Linked DNA regions of Drosophila melanogaster. The protein of the gene in region 2 interacts with the protein of the main gene of each other region in a pairwise test. Each region holds a gene or a part of one and is shown on either strand. Other genes may lie near its edges.

Evidence for each region. Proteins that work in one complex are often made in the same cells at the same time.
Region 1: the proteins of Pbgs (region 2) and CG1635 interact in a two-hybrid assay, tested with the Drosophila melanogaster proteins (one large-scale study listed by BioGRID).

Annotation. Positions count from the first base shown.
Region 1 is NT_033777.3:31,586,276-31,592,933, forward strand, and holds CG1635 (uncharacterized protein), read left to right. Parts: upstream 1-2,397; 5' UTR 2,398-2,477; coding exon 2,478-2,584; intron 2,585-2,644; coding exon 2,645-2,715; exon of another isoform or gene 2,716-2,768; coding exon 2,769-3,011; exon of another isoform or gene 3,012-3,070; coding exon 3,071-3,996; 3' UTR 3,997-4,117; downstream 4,118-6,658. Other genes in the region: rod (rough deal), read left to right, coding at 1-72, 143-968, 1,028-1,661, 1,722-1,832; CG1638 (uncharacterized protein), read left to right, coding at 4,343-4,461, 4,518-4,570, 4,624-4,866, 4,927-5,843.
Region 2 is NT_037436.4:12,266,951-12,274,947, reverse strand, and holds Pbgs (porphobilinogen synthase), read left to right. Parts: upstream 1-3,602; 5' UTR 3,603-3,672; coding exon 3,673-4,656; 3' UTR 4,657-5,496; downstream 5,497-7,997. Other genes in the region: Sms (spermine synthase), read left to right, coding at 1,328-1,450, 1,907-2,490; CG32100 (uncharacterized protein), read right to left, coding at 5,748-7,190, 7,298-7,318.

The DNA.
Region 1 (6,658 bases), on a different chromosome or scaffold from region 2:
TTATGCCGAAGATATCTCGATATCGTCTGCCTTTTAAGCCCATCGTAGAGCAACCTCTTAAGGATATTCTTGGTATATTCAACTGAAATAGTTTAATGCTTAATGCTTCTGTTTAATTATAGTTTCCGCTTCTTCTATTCAGACAGCGAACTAAACGTGGACAACTGCCAAAGCTGGTTTCCACTGATTCAGATGTACACGGCTTTGAAGGGATCCAAGGATAGTTCCCAGAACTGTGACTACTTCTGCATGTCAGCAGTAAAGAATTCGATATCGGAGTACAAGTCGAAAAATGATTCGGAATCATGGAGTCTTCATCCCACGAATAATGCCTTCCTGCAGTCAATACTACGACTGGTCGAGAAGGTGAACAACCCAAACAAGGCATTTCTAATACTGTACTTCGTGTCCAACTATGCTCGTGATGGAGCCGATCAGGTGGAGGCCTCCTACGAGTGCTGGAAGTTTGTCAAGGAGAAGGGCCACCTGATTACAGATCCAAAGAGTCGCGAGCAGGTTGCCAAGGTGAAGCGACGGTATCCTATTCAGAAGACCCAGCACCTGCTGTATGTCTATGGCCTGACCGATGAGAAGCTACTGCGCCAAGTTGAGAACCCCACCGAGCTTATTCAGGCGCTCTACCACCATGAGCTGATCCTCAAGTCCAGCAAAGTGGATATTAACGCTCTGGTCGCAGAGATAGCCAAGCTGCACGACCTCTGCTTAGCCACCATCCAGTACCGCCTGCTACAGAAGTGGCTCGCTCTGACTATGGAGTCTGCGGGTGATGGTACCATTTTGGAGGAGACCTTCATGGAGGAGCAGAACTGGCCGGAGCAGGCCAACGGCGCAGAGTCCTCCAACAGCCAGGACGCCAGCGAGAACGTAAATAGAGCGTTTTACATACTTTCCAGTTGGCCAAAGGCGGAGGCAGTCAAGTTCCTTGTGGGTCTGATCTTCAAGGGCGGGTAAGGATTGGTACTTAAAAGTTAGCGAAAATAATTCATTGAATAAACCCTTCCACCAGTTCGGTAAACACCTCCACACAGCTGCAAATGTACGAGTGCTATTCCAAGCTAAACGATGGCAGCAACTCCTTTACCAACACGATTAGCCAACGCCAGTTCATCAGCATCAAGTGTGTGCACGAGCTCAAGGCTCTGGGCTACAAGTCGAACCTGGAGAAGTTCTCCGACGACCATTGCAACAAGATTGACATTCTGAAGATGATCTGGCAGCGTAATGCGCAGAATCCCCTTTCGCTGGAAGTCATGGCCAACATTTGCCTGGGCTTTGATATACACTTGCCGCAGATCTGGAACGGCATTCTGAAGCGCATGGTCATGTTCCATATGGTGCGCGAGCTGAACGCCTTGTTGGATGTACTCAGCTGCCGGCCGCATCTACTTCACCTGGATGGACTGGCCCAGGCCTGGGACTATGTGCTCTGCCATCCTCTGCAGAACGCAGTCGAGCTACGATCCTTTAAGCAGGAAGAGGTGCTCCACAAGACGCTGCTGCGCCTGCAGGGCTGTCCGGTGGTGCACGCCCTCAACCTGCTACAGTTCGCCCAGCTCTGCATCGTCGTCCATCGACCGCACATGGCCGCCTCTCTACTCAGCTTCTGCCAGAGCAGCGAGCAACGCCAAAAGATCAAAAAGGTATGCTCGAACCGCGCACTTTAACGAAATGCTCTATTGTCACTCTAACTCTTCTTGCAGATGATACATTCCCATCCGGTGGAGAACCTTCGGCAACAGATCTTGGATCTGGAAGATGCTGGTATTTTGCCGGTGGTGCTGAACTTTGCGCTCAAGGAACTAAATCTGTAAGCGTAGAGATTTGGATTTTACTATTCCCATAATTTTTTGTTTTATTGGTCGAATATCTGCGTTAAGTGCGTTCGGGTCAAGATACTTTTGTAAATATCAAGGTTTTATACCTGCAAATATAGTTTATACAAACGATGACTATTTTCTATTTTAATTTTAATATGTTATTTTATATACAGTAGCAATTAGTCAATATTCAAACAGTACAATCTCTTAATTTCATAATTTATGCATCACAAAACAATGTGTTAATTTGAGAAATTGTCTAGGGAACTTCGCTTCCCAGTTTAAAATTAACAACAATCGGGATGACGTCATACGTATGTATCACTTCTGTAAACAGTGGGCTCAAGTTGATGGAATACTGAAAATAATGAGATATATTAGGATTTTTTTTAAATGAAGACTTTGTTGTGTAAAGAACAGTCAGTCTCAAATCAATTTAATTAAAGTAAATGGGAAAAAATTAATATACTAAAGAATCGAACTTTTCGAAATTAGTTGGAGACGAATTTTCTCGAGCCCACTGTACCAGTCAGCTGTGGCCGCCAGCTGTTTTCTATTTGGGGTTAGATCAAAGACAGGTTACACTTTGTATGTAACTTGAAAAGCAAGGAGAAAGCTGCGAAACTAAGTTAAACCGAGATGATGCGTTCTTTGATAGGAGCACAAAAGTGCTGGGGCCTGATCCGCACCAGGAACTTTATGGAATTACCCACCAAACAGGTGCCAGCATCCTTCGCATTGTTCAAGTAAGAGCAAAAAATAAATGATGAGCTTACATGGTAAATGAGTACTTTCATCTCTAACAGGCGTCACTACTCACCGCCCACGCATATCAAGCAATCAGCGGTCGCCAATGAATCCGGAACCATGGCGGAGGGTAAGTGTTGTCTTGCCAGAGTCAAACCCATCGTAATCCCCGAACGTCTGCAGTCAAGCAGGGGATGATGAAGCGATTGGGGCTGGAGCCCGGTTACAACCCGCTGCCCAAATCCAGGGAGCAGCTGCTCAAGTACCAGCCGAAGCTGGAGGATCTGCCTCCAAGAGCTATGCAGGATTCCTTCACCTCGGCCATCATTCCTCTGAGCACGGACCGCAGTTTGCAGGACAAATATGTGACCTATCTGGGCAATGTGCGATTCGGGCGACTTCTGGAGGACATGGACTTGTTTGCTGGTATGAGGAACACATTTGCTGGAATCTTGGCGCACTTTCTCACTATCCGCTATTTCCAGCTTGGTGCTGTCATAAACACCTGGTTCTGCCCAATCTGCCGGAGGGAGTTCATCTGCCGTACACCTTTGTGACCATTCTGGTGGACCGCATCGATTTCACCAATGTCTTGGCTTCAGGCACCCAAGATATCCGTTTGTCTGGGCACGTTTCCTGGGTGGGAACCAGTTCAATTGAGGTGGTAGTGTGGCTGGAACAGATGGTTGGCGGGAGGTACCAAAAGTTAACCCGTGCCTTGTTCCTGATGGCAGCAAGAAACGCTAACAATACCGGAGCGGCTCCTGTGAACCCCTTACAGCCGGCCAACGAGGAAGAGAAAGTGATTCTGGCTGGCGGCGCAGATAGAAAGAAGAAACGTCAGATTCTCTGTGCTCAGTCCATCTTTAAGGTGGAACCCAATGACCCGGAGCAGACAATTATGTACGAGCTGTACAAAAGGACAACTCCCACCAACACTTTGGAACTCAACAAGCGCATCCTGCCACCAAACTGTCGCTGGATGGAGGACTCTTTCCAGATGAGCACTATTCCCTCATTTCCGGAGCACAGGAACCACCACAACCGGGTCTTCGGAGGCTTCCTCATGCGAAGTGCCCTGGAGATAAGCTGGGCAGCAGCCTACCTCTACTGCAAAACGCGACCCAAGCTGGAGCACATATCCGACATCAGCTTCGAGAAGCCCGTCAGCGTGAACAGCTTCATCAAGATGACCGCCTATGTGGTGTACACCAAGGAGAACTACGTGCAGATCATGACCGTTGCAGATGTGATGGACCCACAAACGGGCAGCCAGGTGACCACCAACACGTTCTACTACACCTTCTCGTCTCCGGACACGGTTACCGAGGTGCTGCCCCGCTCCTACCACGAAACCATGTGGTACATCCAAGGTCGTCGAAAGTTCGAGGCCAGCATGGGCCCAGTGTAGACATGGTTCAGCCTGTGATTGTTACTCAAGATATTATGCAAGGCTATCCTACCAGATAAATGCAATTACCAGTTCAGTGTTTACAAAAAGCAATAAATGTCTGTTGTTTAATGATGTGCTTAACCAACCAGCTTAAAACTTTTAAAATCTTCTATTAAACCCTATCGAAGAGTACTAGATTAAATGTTTATTAATATAATAACTGTCAAAATAATCCCTAATTTTTGCCGACTTTACATTTTTTGGATACCCATTACCTGTAATCAAAAAAGCAGAGCTGAAGCAAAATTTATAGTTTTAATTTCGTGTCGGATCTGAGTTCAGATCTCGATCCCGATCCGTTTCCATGGGGCCTGGTCTTAGAAATGTTAAATTATGTGTTGTACCTTTTTTGCTCGGAGCCCGCAGCTGCCGGAGCTTGTTAAAGGCCAGGACCCTCAGGAAGATGACACATAAAAATTCCAGGTGAAGCACCAACACAACTAGCAGAAATCAGATTTTATAGGCCACATTTCTTCTAGCTCTAATGGGCGTAACTCCTCTGCGGACGGTCAATACGCCACTATGACGGAGAGTAAGTACTTCCATTCCAGAAATAGGTGCTACTTGTCCAGATATCCCTTTTAGTCAAGAAGAAGATGCTGAAAAGCTTCGGCCTGGAGCCTGGGTTCACCACGGAGCCGAAGTCCAGGGAGGATCTACTCAAGTACCAACCCAAGTTTGAGGACTTACCTGCGCGATCTATGCAGGACTCGTTTTGTTCGGCCATCATTCCTCTGAGCACGAATGCAGTTCTGCAGGACAAGTATATCAACTTTAGAGGCTTCGCGCGCCTTGGCAGGCTTCTGGAGGACATGGACATCTTCGCCGGTACCATCTAGTTTGGCCAAAGCCATGTTGTTGAATAATTGTCTGCTTAATTCTTCGTAGCTTGGTGCTGTAATAGGCACCTGAAAGTGCCCAATCTGCCAGAGGGAGTACCCTTGCCGTACTCCCTCGTGACGGTCCTGGTGGACCGGATCGACTTCACCAGTGTCTCACCCCAGGGCACCCAAGACATCCGTCTGTCTGGCCACGTGTCCTGGGTGGGAACCAGTTCCATGGAGGTGGTGGTATGGCTGGAGCAGATTGTCAATGAGGAGTATCAGAAAATCACGCGAGCTCTGTTTCTGATGGCGGCGAGAAATGCCACCAACACAGCTGCGGCTCCAGTGAATCCCATTCAGCCTGCCAACGAGGAGGAGAAGCGCATCCTAGCTGGCGGGACCGACAGGAAGAAGCAACGACAGCTACTCATCGCTCAGTCCGTCTTCAAGGTGGAACCCAACGCCGAGGAACAATCTCTCATCTACAAACTCTACAAAAGGACTACTCCCAACGAGCAAACCGGTCCGCGCCGCCTCCTGCCTCCCAACTGCATTTGGATGCACGACTCCTTCCAGATGAGCACTATTCCCTCATTCCCGGAGCACAGGAACCAAAACAACACTGTCTTCGGGGGATTCCTCATGCGCAGTGCCCTGGAAATTAGCTGGGCAACAGCGTTCCTCTACTGCAAGGCCAGACCCACGCTGGAGCACATATCGGACATTAGCTTCCAGAAGCCGGTCAGCGTGAACAGCTTTATCAAGATGACCGCGTATGTGGTGTACACCCAGGAGAACTACCTGCAGATCATGACTGTTGCCGAAGTCCTGGACGCGTACACGGGGAACCACGTGACCACTAACACGTTTCACTATACCTTCTCCGCTCCAGACGCGGTTACTGAGGTGCTGCCTCGCTCCTACCACGAAACCATGTGGTACATCCATGGTCGCCGCAAGTTCATTGCCAGCAGAAGCTAAGCCTCAAAAAAAATTCCCGCTCAGTTTAAATTCACGTAGTCAGTATTTCTTATAGCTAATGTACACAAAGACTGGATTAGTTTGAGCAAATCTTGTAAAATATGTTAACCAAACTGTGCCAGGTGATATTTCCTGATCCAAAAATCTATATGATGCCTATTAAATCGAGTAACTATTCAAATTCCTTATCGAAAGCAGAAAGCGTATAGTTGGCCGTTGGCCCTGGCTTTTATTTCGAATACCCAGTTGCGTGAAGATCATGACCACTGCCAATGTTCTGGGCACGCACGTGATTGGTGGTGAGCCCTACTCCCACTCCGCAGATTAGATTGGGTCCACAATTGATTCATAGAAAACATTATATTTTCGGTAATGTTTTGCTGTCTAATCAGACCGAAAATTGAATGTAAAACTTTCCATCTTCTTCGCTAGTCTGGCACTTTTCGAAAACATCATCTTTACACCTCATTTCAGATTAGATTGCAAGCTTGAGTAGATGCACTGAAAAATAAGATGTTTCTGTGCTAGAGACGGAATATATTCAAACACATAGTCAGTACAATATTATGGGATCACATCATTCTAGCATCAAATAATCTAACATATTTTCAAAAGATTTAATTCCCAAAAGATCAAAATATACAAATCCGCTCGAGAACCTACGCTATTTCTTGCAGTGCAGGCAGAAGATCTCTCACCAAGCGGACAGGTGATCGTCATGCGCGGGTTCTCAGTCGCCGGAGAGCCATGTAATCGCACAACGCGGAACATTTGCCAACGCTCCACTCGGTTCTAGAATCACTCTCTATTTTGCA
Region 2 (7,997 bases):
ACAATTTATGCCGAAATTCTCTTTCAAAATTCCACTGCAGAATCTAGAACACCTGTGCAGTTTTTCCACTAGTATTTCCGATTGCCGCCACCGCAAAGAAAATAAATAAAATTAGAAAAAAAACCCTCATGACTATCACATAAATTGGACACCGTATCGCAGCTGATGTAAATTCACCGAGTTGTCATTTCCAGCCCAGAATTTGAACCGCCTCCCAAGCTCTGCACATCTCCAAAGCCACCGATCATGTTAGCCTAGCGTGTTACCTTCTAGGGGATTACTTTTCCAGGCCACTCCTGCATGCTAGTTTGTCTAATCTTTGGAAGAAGCCTTCTACCTTTGCAGTAGTGGTGCCAAGTTGCTCATATTATTGTACTGTGGGTTTAATCTCTTTATACCTTTATGTATCCACGCTGATTTTATATCAGCTCCTTGGCATCACTGCAATTTAGCATACCCACTGTTCTAAGATTATTATTTAATTTAAATTACGTTTTATTTTCATATCTATTCCATCGACACTCAACCGATCCATCGATCATCATGAACAACCGCTGCCACCATCTCCTGGACCAAATTACACACCAAAATTGCCACGAACTTGTGAATAAATGTGTAAACTATTGAATTATACTTACGCCCCAACGCACATGTGTCACCTGCCCCGCCTCGAAATCGATCTCGTACTCGTATTCGCTCCACGTCGTACGCTCGCTCATAAATTGGTTCCTCAACAATTGACAATCGACTACAACAACACGAAAATATCAATACAACACGGTTTATAAAAAAAAAAAACAATATACTACTATGTAAAATCGAACGGACATCCGCAGAGCGGTAAGAGCCTGGAGAATGTCCTGGCAATCAAACTGAAGGCCATCAAGGCCCAGAAGCTGCCGACGCTGAAGCGCGGCGATGTCTCCAGGTACTTCCCATCGTCAGGTAAGGCAAACCCAATCCGTTTGGTTAAACATATTGCAAATAGAGCAAATACTACTCGTACTACCGCTACTGTATGTCATCCGAATTGTGTGTGATCGTATGACCGTATGACCATTGAGCGTATGCAGCACCATCGAGCTGATTGTATCAGAGTTCTTCTAGTGGCACCCAGCATGATAGATCATTTCAGTCATTTACTTCTGATTTTCTCTCTATCTATATCTCGTTTACTTTCCGTAAGAGTGCATTTCGTTGGTCTTAAACTTGTTTCTCTGCATGCGACGCCTAACAATTGAGCCGAAATCAGTACTAGTAATAATCAATATCGCACTTAATACGGTCACTAATAAGGCATCACTAATCCATGGCACATCTTCCGCAGATGAGCGCATCATCGAGTACGACATCGACAAGGTGGTCTTCGAGGCGCGCTCGCCCTTCCAGAAGATTCAAATCATGCACTCCAAGACCCTGGGCAACATGCTGCTCCTCGACGAGCTGCAGAGTAAGTAAACCATACCTAGTATAGGCATCTGAATGCAATAAGTGGCACATTCACACATTGATGCGCCAACGGTGTCAGGGTCACCAATCGATTAGTGGAAGTGCCGCAGTAAAGGTCACGTGCAATTGCCTTTAAGAAAAGGTCATCATAAATAAATATAAACTGCACATAAACATAATGCACAAAAGTAAATATTCCATATCACGGGCATTTTCTGGATGCTAATGCTATGTTACCTGACAATTATTCCATATCACGAACACCTAGTTGCTTGTTAACTAAATATAATGAAATATTCTTATTGCTTAAAAGAAGAATAAGAAAGCTGAATTTGAAAACATGAATTCTCGACTAGATTAAAAACTTTTTAAGCTGTCGGTTATGAAAAGGGTAATAGCAACTTCTTTTGATTCTTTTTTAAATATAGATGTCTAATTTCCCATTTTCCACGTACAGACATTGCTGAATCCGATTTGATTTACACGGAGACCCTGATGTGTCGCGGCGTGGAGAACTACGAGGGCAAGGAGATCTGCATCCTGGGCGGCGGTGATGGCGCCTTGTTGTACGAGCTACTCAAGGAGAATCCGAAGCATGTGGTGATGCTGGAGATCGATGAGCTTGTGATGCAAACCTGCAACAAATACCTCAACGTGATCTGCGGCGATGTGCTGGAGAAACGCAAGGGCGATCAGTACGAGATCATTGTGGGCGACTGTGTGGAGTACTTGAAGAAGTTCATCGCCGAGGGCCGCAAGTTCGACTACGTTTTTGGGGATCTTACGGACATACCCATAACCGATGCCCCGGAGGGCGAGACCTGGGATTTCATTCGTACCATCTTCGAGCACTCCTTCAAGGTGCTGAAACCCGACGGAAAGTATTTGACTCATGGCAATGGGTCCACCTGCAAGGTGCAGCTGCGTCTATTCGAGGAGCAGTTGAATTTGCTGCGTCCCAAGGTGAAGTTCACCACCACCAAGGCGTTTGTGCCGTCGTTCATGGAAGAGTGGCTCTTCTACCAAGTGACTTTCGCCTGACAAGCTCAGGTGGACTCCTCAGCAGCAGCAGTAGCTACTTCTAGCGCACCACCAACCGCCAGTCACACACCAGCATCACACAGCATAAGTCAGGAACCGGGAACCGTCGGAGAGATGCTCCAGCTGCACTCCTACACTGTCACTATCCATGGAGCAGCAGTCGGAGTTCAGGAGGAGGAAAATATGAATAATGGAGCCGTGGGTCAATTGAAACCGCGACCAAGGCGTCGAAAGAAGAAGCGTGTACACTACCATCACACGCTGGTTTCTTAGTCCAGGAAACACGGAATCCGATGCACAAGCTAATCGCCATCATCGAAACCATCGCAACAAAACCCAAGACAGAGGAAAACACGCACTTCCAATGGCTGTTACTTACAATTGAAAACCAAACCAAATACTGAACCCAATTCGTTTACGCTTAAGTTAGGCTTTAGTTCCGTTTCTCGTTCACTGATTTCAATGCTAAAAACTAAGACAAAAGTACAACCTTTAAGCAAGGACAGGCTAAAATAATAACTTATGTATTCGTGTTTATTTGAATTACGCCTAAGCATAGCATGTTGGCCAACTATTTGTAATATTTCGTATAACGTGTACATCTATATAATGTAGACCATATGTTTAGTTATCCATTAACAAGCAAAGTGGAGCGGGGAAGGCCCAAGGATCGAGGATGTGTGTATGTGGGTGTGAGGAAGCGTAGCAGGAACACCAACTTTTATTGCTGTAATAACGATTAATACCAAACATTTTAAACGGGAGAACTAATAAAGTTAAATAAATAGTCGTACGCAGAAATAAACAGTGTGGTTTTCTTTTATTTTACCGGGTATTTTAATAATAAATCCTGGAATTCAATAAATTACAAATTCAATAGCAATATTCAAGTAATACTACGCATACGCAGTGTTGACCTATCCTTAATCAATATGGATAAAAAATTAATTAAGGGATTTATCGCTATGAAATTCTTAATATAAATAAAATTTTATCTTAATTATTTATATAAGTTTTTAAATTTAATTATTTTATTTTATCGTGAGCCACCCTAATCTTTTCATGACAGTGTTGGACAACCGTGCAATAGAGCACGCACTAAATATGCCCGCGGGCAGTTGAACGTTAATTTCACTTGTTGTTACGTTGGTTTTAATTTTCACCGGGAGCTAAGCGAACAAAATGGAGCGGAAACTGCACAGTGGAATGCACCATGCCACGCTGCGGCAGCTGCAGGAGTCGGGCTGCGAGATAGCGCCGCACAATCTCATGTATCCGGTGTTCATCGTGAGCAACGACGACGATGTCCAGCCAATTGCCAGCATGCCAGGAATCTCGAGATTCGGACTGAATCGCCTGAAGGAGCACCTGGAACCGCTGGTGGCCAAGGGACTGTCGTCGGTGCTGCTCTTTGGCGTTGTGGACCCGGACATGAAGGATGAGCAGGCCTCCAATGCGGATTCAGCAAAGAATCCAGTCGTTCTCGCACTGCCGAAGCTCCGGGAATGGTTTCCGGATCTGCTGATAGCCTGTGATGTGTGCATCTGCCCGTACTCCTCGCACGGTCACTGCGGCCTGCTGGGCGAAACGGGTCTGGAGAACGGACCCAGCATAAAGCGGATAGCCGAGATCGCCGTGGCTTATGCCAAAGCTGGAGCACACATTGTGGCTCCATCGGACATGATGGACAACCGGGTGAAGGCCATTAAGCAGGCCCTCATCGATGCCCAGATGAACAGTGTATCCCTGCTGGCGTACTCCGCCAAGTTCACATCCAATTTCTATGGACCCTTCCGGGAGGCAGCACAATCTGCACCGAAATTCGGTGACCGGAGGTGCTATCAACTGCCCAGTGGCTCCAGAAGCTTAGCAATGAGAGCCATTCAACGTGATGTCGCCGAGGGAGCCGACATGCTGATGGTGAAACCGGGAATGCCCTATCTGGATATCCTACGATCCACAAAGGATTCCTATCCGTATCACACGCTGTACGTCTACCAGGTTTCCGGGGAGTTCGCTATGCTGTATCATGCCGCCAAGGCGGGAGCCTTTGACCTCAAGGATGCCGTGCTGGAGGCCATGAAGGGCTTTCGACGAGCTGGTGCCGATTGCATCATCACCTACTACACACCCTTTCTGCTGGACATTATCGGAAAGGTCAAGTAATGGTCTACGTTCCATGTCCGATGTCTTGATACCATGTTCATATGTACATGCGTAGATTAGAGTGGACCTCTTAAAATCATTAATGGAAAATGGAACTTTTTGTAACAGATAGTGCAATTTTTGTAGGATTTTCTAATTATTTATACGGAGCTCTCCATATTTTATACTTTAATAAGCAAAAGAATAAATATTCAGGGACCAGCATATTCATTTTACCGATTAAGTGGCTTAAATAAGACTCAAAGGCTTTTACTTACATCAATATAGAAGTTATTCTAATACATTAAGATGTGTATTCAATAAAAGAAGTCCACTCTAGTCTCGAATCAACATTACTAATGCTTTTGGAGTGCCTCGCTCACATGCACACCCAAACTAGAATGTATATTTCGATGGTCTTATCTATTGTCCCGATTTGGAAGTCTAATGGCCCAGGGTACATTTCGAATTTCAATTGCATGGCGAAATTCAAGCGAACGAAACGAACCGAACCGGTCGATCCAGTAGCAAGAAATCGAATAGATGTTTCATTTTGTGATGGCAATTAACACTTTAATGTGGAATTCTCTCGATTGCATTTACAAATGGGCTACGGTGAGCATTGAACACTGGCTGGAGCTTACTTGCTAAATTGGTACCAGTTTCGAGTCTTACGAAAAGATTAAAATCACAAAATCAAATGCATTAAGTACATAAACAATTGGATCCGGCTCTGGTTTCTGGTGAAAGTTGATTGAGCAATAAGGTTTGGGTACTATTAGTTCTTAAAAAACATTATCTGATAAATAAAAGTATATGGTTACATTTCTAAAACTTTCACTTTTATGCCGTATACTAAATATTAATATATTTATACACAAATGTATAAACTTCAGCGATTTCGATTAAAAATTTCCTAAGCTCCAGTGCGGCCAATTTCAGTTTAAATTGGATATAAAAAACATTTGCAAGTGTCTGCACGAAATCAAAACTAATTAAAATTAGAATTTAAACTAAAAACAAATTAAGGAATCTATAGCTAATCATAACAAACAGAAAATACTGAGTGCACTAACGATATAAATAGTTCGGAATTCAGCGAGTCCGCAGCTCTAGGGACTCTCGCTGCTGTGGATGCGACTGTGCTCCAGGATATCCGTGTTCTGCATGGGCTCCAGATCCGTTTCGGAGATAATCTCTGCCAGCCACTGCTCGATTTGGACGGGATGGAATGAGTCTTCATCACCGCTGTTTGCCTCGAGGATGATCTTGAGATTCTCGAAGTTCTTAAGGATTAGCCGCTTGCCCGGCTGCAATTGTGGTCCCGATTCGCTGTGCGTTAGCGATGTGGTGGTCGAAACTGGCTCCTGTTTGGCAGCCGACTGCTTTGGATTGCAGTTGGCATCGCAACTGGAATCGGCAGCCGATGTTTGAACGGGCTCTGCCAACTGGTTGTATGTCCTGCGTGGCTTCTCTACCATGCTCTTCTTGATCTCGTTGAGTAGGCGATTGTAAAAATCGCAGGTGACATCGTGAATCTCGGTCTCCTCGTACCGCTGGGCCTGTCCAGGCGTAGGAGTGGAATCCGAGCTGGGTTCACGCTCTATCTTGTCCAGCTTTTTGTTCGCCTTTTGCTTTTTGGACTGCGAACGGGAGCTGGCATTACTGGAGTAATTGGAACTGGAGGCGGTGGTGGTGGGCGTGGAGTTCGAGGGTTCGGTGGTACTGGAATCGGCGGACTTGGCCAGGGGCATCTCTGCACTCACCGCCTCTTCGCTGGCGCAGTTGATGGTCAGGCTGGCTATGTTGCGCAGATTGATCGTGCCATTGCAATTGTTGATTGTGATTTTTGGCTTGAAGCGCTGTTTGCGACCCTTGCATTTCGGTGGTTCTTGTACGCTGCTCTTTGATTTGGCAGAGGTTTCTCGCCCCAAGCTGGAAACGGCTTCGGCAATCGAAGATTCCAACTCGTCATCCAGCTCCTCCAAGTTTAAGGGCGGCACATATGTATCCCTCTTGATCTTGGCCTTTTTTATCAGATCCTTTGCCTCCTGCAGTGTAATGTTGATAATGGAGCGCTTGGCATTATCTTCGACGAGACTTCTGTTGCGAGAGAAGTCGACCACAATGGCCTCTGGTGGGGCACCGTCTTCGTCCAGATCGAGATACGATACTTGCCCATCCTGCAGGCACTTGTACATGGTCTCGTGGTCATCTAGTGGCTCTATGTAGTCCTCGTTCCTCAAACCCGTGGTGCGGTAATCCTGCAGCGCCAACTGCATATCACTGTTGTCCAGCAGAAAGTGTCCGTAGCTTCGGATGGCTGTCAGTAGTTTCTCCTCCGCATCCTCGCTTTCCCCGGGAATGAAACGCACACCACTTTGATCTTTCTTGCCAACCGAGTTCGAGTTCTCCATTTCGGTGGGCGACTTCTTCAGCAGCTGCTGCTGCTGTCGCGTGTTCGCTATGACCTCCAGTTGCCGGAGCAGCAACTTCTCGCGCATATGCAACGCAGCACGGATTTCATTGAACTTCTTTTGTACGGTGTCTTTGACCTGGGCGATGAAAAATTGGGGCGTGTATCAGTAAACAGCAGTCAAAACACACAGTCCATTCGGTTTTAGGGGGCTGAATATAAAAAAAGGAGAGTACAAACACAAACCTCATCCAGATTCTTGTCCATTTCGTGCGTGCTACTAAATACTTTCTCCTTTCTAAACGCTGCGCATTTTTTTTCATAAATTCCTGTGTATCAATATTTTTTGTTTGATCGATCAGCTGAGTTGCGGAGTGCCCGCCGCTTTTAGCTAATAAAAAACCAGAGGCTCACAAGGACTGGTACTTGTAACTGGTCACACTTTACATTTGGCGGGAAAATTGAATTTGCAAGTTTGATAAGAACATATTTCATATTAAGTATTATTTTGGCTTTATGCCAAAGATTCTGGTAAAGTTGTATTTAGTAAAAACACTTTCATATTCCTCATTAACGATCTTTCTGTTTTACTACAAAAGCACAAGCAAAATCTAGCAAAATAATATAGGCAGCTCTTTAAAATTGATGAAAGGCTTTGTGTTTTATTTATTAAATTATTTAATTATTATTTATTTATTTAAATTATTTAAAATATTTTGCCGGGTTGTTCAAACTTTTAACGTTAGCGGAAGTGCAAGCGCTGCCACCTTGTTGCTGCGCTTAACAGAGAGATCATACTTATACCGCTACGACACTACATTGTGGAGTCCAGTACAATGGAAGGAATTGGGTTTTAAGATTTCAAAAGTCTGAATTGTTAGGGCAAACAATAAGCACAAAATTCCAGAGATGAACTAGTTTATGATTAATTAAGCTCTTTAGAAGC